Linked DNA regions of Rattus norvegicus. The protein of the gene in region 2 purifies or fractionates together with the protein of the main gene of each other region. This does not show direct contact. Links are inferred from orthologs where the notes say so. Each region holds a gene or a part of one and is shown on either strand. Other genes may lie near its edges.

The links.
Region 1: the proteins of Npc1 (region 2) and Pon2 purify together in Homo sapiens (affinity purification with mass spectrometry; 3 studies listed by BioGRID and IntAct, with this or other methods). This does not show direct contact. The link is inferred for Rattus norvegicus from reciprocal best matches to the Homo sapiens genes NPC1 and PON2.
Region 3: the proteins of Npc1 (region 2) and Sigmar1 purify together in Homo sapiens (affinity purification with mass spectrometry; 3 studies listed by BioGRID and IntAct, with this or other methods). This does not show direct contact. The link is inferred for Rattus norvegicus from reciprocal best matches to the Homo sapiens genes NPC1 and SIGMAR1.

The regions. Positions count from the first base shown.
Region 1 is NC_086022.1:34,388,885-34,392,920, forward strand, and holds the start of Pon2 (serum paraoxonase/arylesterase 2), read right to left. Parts: upstream 2,801-4,036; 5' UTR 2,749-2,800; coding exon 2,675-2,748; intron 1-2,674. UniProt on the Homo sapiens protein: Capable of hydrolyzing lactones and a number of aromatic carboxylic acid esters. Has antioxidant activity. Is not associated with high density lipoprotein.
Region 2 is NC_086036.1:3,660,799-3,666,017, forward strand, and holds part of Npc1 (NPC intracellular cholesterol transporter 1 precursor), read right to left. Parts: coding exon 5,203-5,219; intron 4,859-5,202; coding exon 4,676-4,858; intron 4,063-4,675; coding exon 3,948-4,062; intron 2,816-3,947; coding exon 2,688-2,815; intron 2,605-2,687; coding exon 2,464-2,604; intron 1,772-2,463; coding exon 1,682-1,771; intron 1,325-1,681; coding exon 1,134-1,324; intron 689-1,133; coding exon 573-688; intron 69-572; coding exon 1-68. UniProt on the Homo sapiens protein: Intracellular cholesterol transporter which acts in concert with NPC2 and plays an important role in the egress of cholesterol from the endosomal/lysosomal compartment.
Region 3 is NC_086023.1:61,700,000-61,704,064, reverse strand, and holds Sigmar1 (sigma non-opioid intracellular receptor 1), read left to right. Parts: upstream 1-1,265; 5' UTR 1,266-1,299; coding exon 1,300-1,450; intron 1,451-1,586; coding exon 1,587-1,787; intron 1,788-1,920; coding exon 1,921-2,013; intron 2,014-2,968; coding exon 2,969-3,195; 3' UTR 3,196-4,044; downstream 4,045-4,065. UniProt on the Homo sapiens protein: Functions in lipid transport from the endoplasmic reticulum and is involved in a wide array of cellular functions probably through regulation of the biogenesis of lipid microdomains at the plasma membrane.

The DNA.
Region 1 (4,036 bases), on a different chromosome or scaffold from region 2:
GCTTGAACACAGGCCCCCACACACTCTGGCACTGTACCACTGAGTCACACACCCTGTTCAGAAAGAGATCCTTTACTTTCTGTGGGTGTAAAACACTATGATGTTATGAAACGGGCATGGAGATGCCTTAAAACTTGTTAAAGTATAAGTATTGTATATGACCAGCAATCCCAGGACTGGTTATGCATCCAAAGGGAGAGAAGTCGGTGTTGAAGAGACACTTGCATCCTGGTAGTTTCCAAATGGGAACTGCCTAATCACCCTCCCATCAACAGAGAAATGGAAAAGAACAACATGGTGGACTTATACAGTGGATACAGTGAGAGAAAACGATTGTAGAGGCATGGTGTTGCATGTATGTAATGTTAGTACTCGGGAGACTGAGACAAGATTTGCATGACACTGATGCCAGCCTGGGCTACACAAAGAGAGACCCTGTCTTAAAGAGCCAGGAAGGAAAGAATGAGGAAGGGAGGGAGGAAGGGAGGGAGGGAGGGAAGGAGGCAAGGGAAGGAAGAAAAGGAAGGAAGCAAGAAAGAGAAAATGGGAAAATTCACCGATATGTGTGAAAACTACTAGTAGAAGTTGAAAATTACTAAGAGTGGTCACCCAAGGATTACTCTGAGCCAGTCAGTGGTGGCAGTGAGACTGGCCAAAGGGCACAACGCTACGATTAGAAGACAGGCAGTGCAGTGACTGTAGCTAATAGTAGTGTGTGCTTCAAACTAGGAAGAAAGTTTTTTAATATTCTCATCTTGAAAGAAAAGCAAGCATTTACGGTGACTGTTGTACCTATCACCATAGATCTCATAATACATAAACATTAACATCACAGTCCATAAGTGTGTATGTTTATTGTATATCGACTAAAAGCAAAACATGACCCAAACCCATCCAAATGCATCCCAGTGCATGGGTATTCTACAGGAGCAGAAGCATTTACTAAGAGTGGTTACCCAAGGATTAGCCTGAGCCACACTGCCAGTCCCTACCATACGCATAAACATTCCTCCTAGTTCCGGGGTTCCCATCCCATCCAGTTCTCACATGGCCTTACCCCCAAATGAGGCTGCAGCTATGGGACAGACGGTGGACTCACCTTGCCAGCTGGGCTCTCTCACTTTGGCTCTGTCTCTCATTCTTGGGGATGCAGTCTGGGACTCCTTTATCATTCCCAACCTGCTTTTGCCCATGTCTAGTCCACTAGCTCTCAATGCTTACAACACATACTGTACACGAGGATTACCAAGACAAGGGGTGCAAGGGGTGTGCTTCCTGTTTTGGTTTTGTAGTGTGGGGCTGAGGCTGGTGTCCCTAGTTTCATGCATGCTGGGCAAGTGCTGTATCCCTGAGCTACATGCTACACCTGCACATCATTAGCAAAGATCTAGATGTGAAAAGAAGGAAGGAAAGAAGGAAGGAGGGAGGGAGGAAAAGAAAGAAAGAAAGAAAGAAAGAAAGAAAGAAAGAAAGAAAGAAAGAAAGAAAACCCCGTGTGCCATGATGGTGTGTGTCTGTAATAGCAGGAGTCGGGAGACCAAGGATCCTGAGTTTCGAGAGCAGACTAAGCTTCAAAACGGAGAGGGCACAAAATGAGATTTCAACTCAAAACCAAGAATTAATTTAAAATTTAGAGAAGCACCCAAAACCCAAGGCCTAGGTCGCACCAGGAGCAACTGAATTAGAATGTTTCACATGGTGCCCCTGGGACACCAGGACTCCAAGAGATCCTATTATCCAGCCTACGATGCTCCGCCCTTCAGGCTTGTTTGTACAATGCAAGACTCAGGTCAGCTTGCTGCTAAACGACCAATGAGTACTAACGCTTCCCTTTTGCCTATCAGAGAGAGGCGCAACTTTGCAGTGCTAAGTACACCCTTCAGACTTACCCGCCTTTCTCATCTGTTGCCTTCCAGAACACCTTCAGAGGACCTGTCTTTTCTCCTTAACCCTATAAGGAGTTTCATTTTCCTGTCTTCGATAGCTAGTTTCAATATTTCTCTCCTTTCCCATATCAGAAAAGACTCTATTTAGGGTTTCCAGTTCTCCACAGGAGCCTGGGGCTGAGGTGTACCTACTGCCTAGTAGGCACTCAACTGTTCTAGAAATCTTTTGCAAGAAGCTTATAAAGTTTGAAATGGTAACTTGAAAACATGATGTCGACCCGGAAGGAACAACTGCTTGCTCTACTCCTGGAGCTCTGGTCAATAAATAAGGAAATGATGTAAGAACAGTAGCTGTCTCTGTCAAGTGTCTTTGATCTCCAGCGCCAAGACTGAAACCCTGAAGTTTCCCCAACTATTATGCTGGAGAGGGATGGATTCCAGTTGCACAGAACAGCACCAGTGACCTGAAATAAAACTGTGCAATTAGAGCGTCCACGCATGAGTAATGGTTTTGTTTTCAAATTAAAGCACTGAGTTTTGCCCCCTGAGAAATTTGCAAACCTCACTTGTCAGCCTAGGCAGAGGAACCTCGCTACCAGCAAAGGCTAGGAAACTTTTCACAAAGTATCTAGGTCTTGGTGGAAGTGGACTGGGCCAGTTAAACGGGTAGCGATCCCAAGTACTTCCCTCCATCTCGTTCCCCAAACTAAATGAGCTCTGTCTCCAGTGCCCAACACAAGCAGCTCGGCCGTAGGGACCTGCGACCCGGGACCCTCGGCAGAACCTACCTGAGCGCCAAGAACCGCTCGCCCAGAAGCGCCAGCCCGATGCCTAGCAAACTCAGAGCCACCAGCCGGCCCATGGCGCGGGACCGGCCCGCCGTCTGGTTTGGGCCTGACCGGGCTGCACCGGACGCTGGGCCAGCTCCCCGCCCCGAGCGCGGAACCGCGCCTGATCCCCGCCCCGAGCGCCGGCTCTGCAGCCCAGGCTCCGCCCGGCGCCGCGGCCTCAGAGCACATCCGCACATGCCCGCGTGGGAACCCAACTGAACTTGACTCCTTTCACAAACACTCGGCCAACCCTCCAAAGCCCGCGCAGCTGCACCTGCTCTGCTCCCTGAAAACTTTAGGGTGGCCTCTGCGGAGCTCTCTTGATTTAGTTAAGTTTGGGGTTGCTTTTTTGTTGTTTTGGTCTGGAGTTTGAGGATGTTTTCCCCCTTTGTTGTGTTTATTTTTGATTTTTGAGAAGCTAGGAAACAAACCCAGGACTTTGTTCATATTACGCAAATAACGAGCCACATCTACACAGAACAGTTTCGTTGTTGAACATACTTGTGTGTGTGTGTAATATGTCTATGTTTAAATGTAAAATATATTTAAATATTAATTATTAAACATAGGAATGTATACTAAATATATGAAATCTATTAAAATAGTACTTTTAAATTTTCTTATTGGTCCAGGATGGTAGTGAACATCTGATCTGTCTAATTCATATGCCAAGTTCTTGGGCAACTCAGGGCCCTGCCTAGAGTAATGTGTTTTGGTTTAGTTCTTTATTTCATATGCATGGATGTTTTGCTTGCATGCATGTGTATGCACACATCCATGTCTGGTATCCACAGAGGTCAGAAAAGGGTGCGCACTACCCCAGTAAGTACAGCCAGTGTTCTTGGTGCTAAGCCATCTCTCTAATTTTAAATATTCACTTCCTTTTTTCTTCTTTTAGTTAGGAAAAAATGGCTCTGGACAGGCCTTATGTAAAAAGTTAGAATTGGAGTTACATCCTTTTATTTTAAGATTTATATTAGACTAGACCGCCACAAACTCAGAATTTATTGGAGTACTAATAAATTTTCTCTCCTTTCTCCCTTTTCATTTTAACACTTATTTATATACACTTATAAAAATATAAAGAGCGAGGTCGCTCATTGAGATTGTGACAGCTACTGAGTATAACTTGGAATCATTTCCTAATTGTTCCCAGCACAATTCCTACCTGCAATGTGTTTGCAGAAGTTAAGCAGTCAGTTCTTAAGGAACATCATTCTTTGACAGTGTTTTGTTATTGCAGCCGGAGATGACCTTGGATTTGAGGCTTTCTTGACTTCCCCTCCTGAGGATTACCAGCATATGTTGACACATCAGGCC
Region 2 (5,219 bases):
TTTCCCCTGAGGCCTCTGTTTGCCCTCTGGAGTCAGAGGTCTGCAGCGGACACAGGTTGGGTCAATCACTGGCAAAAGAAGAGAGCCAATCATTAGCAAAATGGGCATTAAGACTTATACAAACACTGAAGCCGTAACACTTAAGGGCTAAGTGCTTAAGACCAAACACAAGGTTTCCTTGCATCTTTCCACCTTCCAAAGCTCCAGCTCCAGGGGTTTCAAGGACCCCTCGTGGACCTAGGTGCCCTGTTTTGAGGAAGACCTAAGAGCCCAGGACTGTGTGTTCACGGACGTTCTCAGCACCTACAGAGCAGCAGGAGGCAGCCTTTGAACACACTAGCTGGCACGCCTGAGAGAGCAGTCGGTGTGCTCTGCACACATGAGAAGTCTCATGTGTCCTTGATGCAGCTCTGAGTCACCTGTGTGACTGAGCACAGGACAGGGACAGAGGGAAGGAGACAGCCCCAACACTGACAAACACACAAATGAAGGGAAAGTGAAATGGCTAAGCGATGCTACCATTTTTCCAAAATTAAAAAAAAAAAAAAGTCTAGAAAAGGAGATGAAAGTACCAGAAGCATTGCAGAACTGGTGAGTGACATTGTAGAGTCTACAGCAGGAGGATTGCGGTGAGACCCAGTCAAAGTAATCATCAATCCAGGATGAGGGAGCGAAGCCTACGCGGGTGCTGGAGAAAGGAGAGACAGTGATGGGCCAGTCGGGACTCCTGCGAACTCCAGCTCCTTCCCCCCATTTGACATTGCCACGTGACTGACCAACCCTTCAAGATAATCAATGGCCCATGAGCCCACTCTGATGGCCAATGAGCCTACTTTGCTCACACGAAACTTGCTCTAACAGATTTTTTGAAATGACAACAAAAAAACCTTCCCAAAAGCTGCTTTTGCAGAGAAATTTCAGGCCTGAGTTGACCCTGCCCACGAGTTCTTCCTTCTGCCTCCTTCTGTTCAAGACTGAAAAGGACCAAACCCAGGCAGGTGATAGCTGGAACCCTAACGCTTGGGAGGCTGGGACAGGGCCAACTTGGAGACCATACGGGAGAGCATCTCTCAGACTAAACATTAACTCAAGAGACAGAGAAGTACAAAGGACCAGACGTTCCCGACACTGACTAGGTGTCCAGCTCTGCTGCGTTAAATATCTGCTGCACCAGGGAGTCATTGTCACAGCCCATGCCACCGCACACCATGTTCTGCCCTCTGCGGGAACTGTAGTTGTAGCCCTCTTCCAGGACGAAGTACACGGGTGGGCCCGAGTGCAGGTACTGACCGAGTGACTTGAAATAGTCAATCACATACGAATCCTGAAAGGAAGACCAAAGAGAGAATACAGCTCCATGGGAGACTGCTGGGAATAGAGCCTGTGTCGCCAAGCAGGACGACGCATGGTTCTCTTCCTCTGGGTCCCAGAGTGCGTCTGTTGTTAAGCTGCAGACAGAAGGGATCTCAGTGATCTCAGGAGACTGGCTGCTCCACCTCTAAGGCTATGTCAGGAAAAGTTACGAGCTCATAGGCCAGCAGCCTGCTCCAGCAGAGCCCTGCAGCAGATCACTGTTGCCCCTTGCATGATTTGCATTCAGAAGCAAGCATTAACACCTATAACACATGCTCTGAAAACTGTACTCAATAGCGGCTAAAGAAGTTAAAAGAAAGTGGCTTACATTTGGCATCGAGAGAGACTGATCCAATCCGATTTCTACTTTGTTCACTACTGCAATACTGAATGACAGAATGCCCACAAACACGGCCATCTGGAAAAAAAGCAAACCGAGAGACGACTGCTGATGTAATCATAAGCTGAAGAAGAAATAAGATCCTGCACACCAAAGACACGACTATTGATTTATTTTGGGGTGGTATTGGAGAGTGAACCCCATGCCTTGCGTAAGGCTAGGCAAAGACTCTACCACTGAACTACATCCCCAGTCCAAACACATGCACACAAGCCTGACTCTAATACTGCACTATAATTCTGCGTATATATTACAACTGGGTATGTGAGACAACATACACTAGAAGATAACAGGCGAGAGAAACAAGGTTCCAATTTCTTTGCAACATTCTGTAAAACTACAACTCTTTCAAAACAAAAACTTAGGGTTTGGGCACAAAAACAACACAAAAAACCCCAACCCAATGTTACCAAAATTCTTGACAATGGTGACTGATTAATGCACTAGAGGTGCAGGAGAGATGGCTGAGCAGCTGAGAGGACTGACTGCACACATTCGTGTAGGCAAAACACCAGTGCACATAAAAGTAAATAAAACTAAAAAAGTGTTTTAAAAACTGCACAAGCAAAGGACCCTGCTATTGTATACATTTGCCTGTGTTTTCTGTACTATATTAACAGTGGCTGGGATTGCCCTCCCAGGCCTCTCAGAAGGCATGTGACACATCTATGTAGAGAGAGGGAAGACAGAAACCTCAGAAGAGTCCGTACCACAACTGGCCGCAGCCAGTCCGTCAGCAGAAATGGGGCAAAGGCGTTTTTGAAGAAGCGGAACAGGTAGCTTTCGGAGGCTTGGGATTCTTGTCCGTCGTCAGGGCCTCTGACACAGCACAGGATGTCCAGACGGTTTTTCTGAGAGCACAGAGATAGAGAGAAGCATGGAAAACTCTCCAGCTTCGCCCAGACTCCAGATTCAAACAGACCCTTGTCCTTACCTCTTGTCTCTTAATATCTAACCCCAAGAAGCTCACAAAGCAGGTAATCTGAAGGAGGAAGTCAATGAGGACGGCCATCCCCGCAAACAGAGAGAAGGTGTGGACAGCTGGCATCGAGGACAGCGCCCCTACAGGGAGAGGAAAACACTGTCATGCCACCCTGAGGTGTCACGCTACCCTGAGGTGTCAGGTATGTTCCCATGCACATATGCCATTTCCTCTTGACCCACATTATACCAATCCATTTTAGGATCAAAAATATTCTTAATAAGTATTTAAACAGAAATCCAGATTCACCATATTATTTTGGAGGAAAACCTTTTTGATGTTGGGCCAGCCACATGATCCAGAAACAAACCAGGACATCTGCCTCTTTCGATGCAACTGCAGTCTGGTAGAGTCGCCCTGACCCTGGCACACTGCACACTTGTGCTGGTTTTCTTAGAAGAGTAAAAGGGTATCATCTCCCCTGCACCTGTGACTGTCTCAGGCACAATAAAGACCACAGGTTCCATGACAGCACTACAGGACAGGAAGTGATACGGGGCCAGGAGGCCTCCACTGAAGCTCGCCACCTAAACCCAGCCCACACGGCCCAGGGAAGAACCGGCAGTCACATGGGCACTGCAGCTGTGACCTCAGACAATGGAGACTATCTTCTCCGCACAGATGTCTGGCCTTGTTCAGTCTCTACAAGGATCAAGCCACTTTTCTCTTTCTGCACTTTGGAGATAGACTGGGCAGCCAACGCCAAGATTCAGTGATGGCTCTGCACAAAAGAATCCCGAGGCTTTTGTTCTTGCTCATTAAGGCTCCTTGTACTGAAGCACTACAAGACAATCACTAATGAACCTGTTTCCCCTGGGGGTGTGTGCTCAGAGAAGGAAGCCTGTGTGAAAACAAAGGCAGGGCATCCTGTAAGTAAGTCAACCTGCCACACTGCCGAGGGGAGAGCCAAGGATTCTGTGGCCATGCAGGGGCGCCATTTATCAACACTTACAATAGGCACAAGAAGGGGAGATGGCAGAGAAGCCTGAGTCTCTGTTGTCCTCTATCCCAGCATGAGTACTGTGTTGGGACAAAGAGGACTCCAAAGCTGACTCCAGAGACACAGCCAGTTAGCCAAGACAAGCAACACTCCAAGTGTGAAGCAAGCCCTCAAAAGGGAGAGACATGGGGCATAATAATATACCCAGCATATCATATCCCACACAGCACAGTCATACACCACAGGCCTGGTACAATCTATAGTAAATTTACCAAAGAAAAATGCCGAGGTCTCAGAGAAGGACGAAAGGAACATGGTTGGGGCCACTTCCCCCAGGATCCTGCCCAGCTGCTGATCCAACGTCTCCTCCTGAAGACGCTCATCTCTCTTAAAGAAAAAAAAATGCACTATTGAAATTTCTCAGTAACAGAGCCGTCTGGTTCCGGTCTTCGTTAGCTGCAGCAGCAGTTAATCCTGCTAGTTGAGCTGGATCACTGATGGGCACCAGATGAGAAGCTCAGCAAAATGGAGTCATGTTATCAGACAACTGCCTGGTATACACGGGTTTCAGGAAGACGGACCAATACAGGACACTTGTATGTCACTGAGTCTCCACTCAGACAAGGACTTCAGGCAACTGAGACCAAATCCTACAATGGTAGACTGTGCCTTGAGCAGTGTCTCAGAGCATGACAAATCTGTTATGTGTCTGCTGTGCGCTAGAAGCCATTTTAGTAGCATTAATACCTGAAATAATTCCCCTAAGCGTGTTAAGTTCCTACTGCACATATGTGACAATGGTTTCTAATACCAACTTCTCACTTCTGTATCCACTTCACCAAGTAAGAGAGGGCTGAGATTCTTGGTTCCAAGTGTGCAGAACAAATCAAAGAGACCACAGAGCCGTGGGAGAGAAGGCTGTGGAGCTATCTGTGTGAGCAGCCACTTACAAGCCTGAGTGCTTAGGCAGATACTGAGCTCCGAGAAGAGGGAGAGTTACCTGGTAGGTCTGCACTAGAATGAAGATGTTGTCCACCCCAACAGCCAGCACCAGGAACGGGATGACCTCAATGACGATGAGGGTCAGTGGCATTCCGATGTAGCTGAAGATGCCCAGGGAGCAGGTCACCGAGCTCAGCACTATCAGGATCCCCGCAATGCCCAGCGAGATTTTAGAATCCACCTGATGTTGGACGAAAGCACAGGTCATCAGAGAGCTTTCTGTCCTCCCTGTTACAACTCACGGTGTGAAAGAACACAGAAAAAACGTGCAGGTTTCTCCCTAGGAACAAAGTTCATGCACTTGCAGGTAAGGCTATGGACAAAACATATGTGACTTATGTGAAGTAAGCCTTAGGAGTGAAGAAAGTAGACACAGAAACAGAAGTTATGGATAGTTAGCCTGATGTTCATGGAAAGAGCACATGTGAGGTAACTTGCTGAGGAACGTCTGACCAAGGAGAGGAGATAACATGTCACAGCTTGTACTGTCATGTCTAACACCCCCCATGTGCACCTCACACTCACCAGGACCCTGTTCCAGC
Region 3 (4,065 bases), on a different chromosome or scaffold from region 2:
TGACTGTATTGGTCTTTTGTTCCATCATTTCTGGGCTCAAGGCTAGTTTTTTCCTAGTTCCTTTATGGGTTTGGCTGCTTTTCTTGTCGTTGCTTTAAACATGGTCTCCAGTGACCCATGCTGACTGCAGCTAAGGTGACCTTGAACTACTACCGATCCTTGTGCCTTCACTTCCACCGTCGAGAGTTACACGCATGTACCACCACTCAGTCTTACGTTGTCTTTTCCTAACTAACATACAGAATCCTGACCATGTGCCAGGCACTACTTACTTTAAAATCCTAATTCATTTTATGTTAATCATAGTGAGCTATATGGACTATGGTATGGACTATAAAGCAGATACTTTTTAAAATTTTATTCTATGTTACAGATAAAGCTATCCATACATACTCTTACATGCTGACACATATGGGCTCTCTTCCTTAAATCTTAGTCCAATTTTACTCCCCTCCTCTATGTAGCCAAGAGCCATTCTGGGGCAAAATCTAATCCCATAGCTCCCCAGTGGATAAATCTATTGATTTTCAAAGTCTTTCATTTTTGTGTTTCAGAATATAGAATGAACCGTAGGATCAGAGAAAGCACTATGTTAAGCAAGCATGGTGGTCCATGCCTTTGATCCCAGTATTGGAGAAGCAGAAGTATCTCAGTGAATTTATGGCCATCCTAGTCTATAGGTCAGCTACATAGTGAGACATCTAAAATATTATATATATGTGTGTGTATATATATATGTACACACACATATATATACATGTGTATGTATGCATGTATGCATGTATGTATGTATGTATGCATGCATGTATGCTATCTCTCCCGCCTCTGCTCTGTGAATCTCGGAATGGTTCCCATCTGCTCTCCTCTCTCATGGACACTTCAGATATCACCGCTTCTGAAAGGCCTTCCCTAAGGTTCCCAGTGGCACTATCTTCAACGCGCTTCTGTGCTAGCAATCACGAGACCTAGAAAGCTCTACTTCCGGGCTCGCCAGCCCGGGTGGGCCAGGCCATTGAGTCTCCCTACTTAAGGACATCAGGACTGAACACTTCAGGGTGGCTGCCAAGAGGCGAAGCCCCGCCTCTCACCCCCTCCTATGGACCGCGCCACCAAACCTTATGCCCGCCCCTCTAGAAAAATGGTTCAATCCAGAGGGCGGTGCTAGGTGACCCAGACGTTCCGATTGGCCCGGGCGAGCCGTACCACGGTGACGGGGGGCGACCATAGGCAGCGGCTGTGAATCCACAGCCTGTGGCCCTAGTTCGGTCTTACGTTGGTGGTACCAGGCTGCCCGCTGGGATGCCGTGGGCTGTGGGCCGGCGGTGGGCATGGATCACCCTGTTTCTGACTATTGTGGCGGTGCTGATCCAGGCGGTCTGGCTGTGGCTGGGTACTCAGAGCTTCGTCTTCCAGAGAGAAGAGATAGCTCAGCTTGCTCGACAGTACGCAGGTGAGCCGGTGAGGGCGGGGAGCGGAGTGGGCCGACACCGAGTAGAACCGAGCGGAGCTGCGCTTTCTGAGGGCGCCTTCCTTGCCAGACTCGGACAGCGGGCTGGTCTTACCTACGCCTCTCCTTTTTGCATCAGGGCTGGACCATGAGCTGGCCTTCTCTCGGCTGATCGTGGAGCTGCGGAGGCTGCACCCAGGCCACGTGCTGCCGGATGAGGAGCTGCAGTGGGTGTTTGTGAACGCGGGCGGCTGGATGGGCGCCATGTGTCTTTTGCACGCCTCGCTGTCTGAGTACGTGCTGCTCTTCGGCACCGCCCTGGGCTCCCATGGCCATTCGGGTCAGTGTTGGCGGTGGGCCGGATTGGGAGGCTGGGACTGTTCGAGGGCTGGTGCCCTCCATTCCGAGGTTTGGCTGGGCCGTGTGATGACAAGGATTCCCTGATGGTCCGTGTCTATTTTCCTGTCAATCAGGACGATACTGGGCTGAGATTTCAGATACCATCATCTCTGGCACTTTCCACCAGTGGAGAGAGGGCACCACAAAAAGTGAGGTCTATTACCCAGGTGAGTGTGGAAGTTCTGTCCAAGGGGGCGCCCTCTAGCTAGAGAAGGACATAAGACCTGGCTATGGCATGTTTAGAAGGCCTACCAGTGATTTCCTTCCTTCTCTCCCTGGTAAGCCACAGGTTGTTTCGTTAGGGAAACGGAACAGGGCATTTTCCGGTCATAGAGAGCTGCTTTCTATCAGCCTGTTTAACCCAGCCATTATTCCAGCAATTGTTTGGGAGACCGTCATATCCAAAAGTTAAGATAGACATTTGTTTACCATCGTGTTTTAAACTAGTGAGGGGTTTTGTATTTTTGTTGTCGTTTCCGGTTTTTTATTTGTTTTTTATTCGTCTGGGTGTTTTGCCTACACACTTACACACGCCCACCACTTCGGTGCCTGGTGCCTTAAAGGTCAGAAGGAGGCATCTGATACCTAAGACTGTTGGGAACCATCATGTGGGTGCTGGGAAATGAACCTAGGTCCTCTGGAGTAGGAGACAGGGCTCTTAAGAACTGAGCCATCTAGCTAGCAAGCTCCTGATGTTGTTTTTAATGGACCTCTGGATCCATCTAAAAGAAAAACAGTTTGGACTTGCTGGTGTAAGATTAAGCATCAAGTTTTGTGATTTAACAGGCGTGTTTCTCAAAAAGCCTAGGAAGCCTTGTAACCACATCAAATTTCCACTTGAGGCTTGGAAATGCAGATGCCATGAATTCTATACATTAGCCTGTAGCTGGATTGGGTAGCCTTTCATGGGCCAGGTAATGCCATAAAATATTTAGGCATTTGGTCTTTCTTTCCCCTTTGATCAAACAACTAGGTTAGTGGGGTAGAGCTTTTCTGTTCTTGAAACTGTCTTCTCATTCCCCACCTCTACCTAGATAGCCCATAGGCTAGGCAAAGGCACTATGGAAGGCCAGGGCAGAGCTGGGCTCCTCCTGATCCTTCTTACCCTGTCTGTCCCCCCAGGAGAGACGGTTGTCCATGGACCTGGAGAGGCAACAGCTGTGGAGTGGGGACCAAACACGTGGATGGTGGAGTATGGCCGGGGTGTTATTCCGTCTACCCTGGCATTTGCACTTAGTGACACTATTTTCAGCACCCAGGACTTCCTCACCCTCTTCTATACCCTTCGCGCCTATGCCCGGGGCCTCCGGCTTGAGCTCACCACCTACCTCTTTGGCCAAGACCCCTGACCAGACAGGCTGAAGGAAGACCTGCGAGTGGACAGGAGCGGGCAGGACCACATCCATTTCTCTACTCGCTGGGACTCATGTTCACTGACAGCAGCATATACCATGCAGATAATTAAGTTCCTGCTGTGTGAGGAAGGACATACATACACATACATCCAGACACAGCTCTTGGGGAGCAATGAGACGCAGAGATGCTAAGACTTGTATGTACTGTAAGATCATGCACTCACCTCCATCCAGAGAGGGTCCCCGACGTATACTCCAGGGGGGCGCCCAGTCATGTTTGAACACATACCACGAGCTTGACTCACCTGACTCAGGCTTTTCCAGAGCCTCCTGCTGGCATTCGGGGCTCTGAGATAGAGGATTGGGGTAGATGACACAGTCTGCCTCGCTCTGATGCCGCATTCCAGTAGTGATCTCTGGTGAAGGAAAAGAGGAGCTGCCCTTCGGAGGTCCCGTTCGCCTGCAGCTGTGATGCCCTTCCCTCCATCCCTTTCCTCACCATATGCCTTATCTCCATTCCAGTCCCCTGCTATGCAAGTGTCCCTGTGGCTTGTCCTCCATGCCCCCAGCGACCAGCTGGGAAAGCAGAGGAATGTAGAGGAAGCTGAAGGGAAGGGAGGTTCTCCACCATGGAGACCCTCAGGGTTACAATGGGAAAGCTGGCTGATGCCTGGGGCCAGTTCCCAAAGAGAGGACCTGGGGAAGTGAGCCTGGCTCCGAGAAGCCACCCCATTCCAAAAGAAGCCTTTAGTGTATGTGTGCACACCTTGTCGGTCTCCAGACATTTCTGTTGCATTCTCTGTCTTCCTGTCTCTCTCTGTTAATAAAAACAGATCAAACAGTTCCATTTCCTTGTGTGTCTAA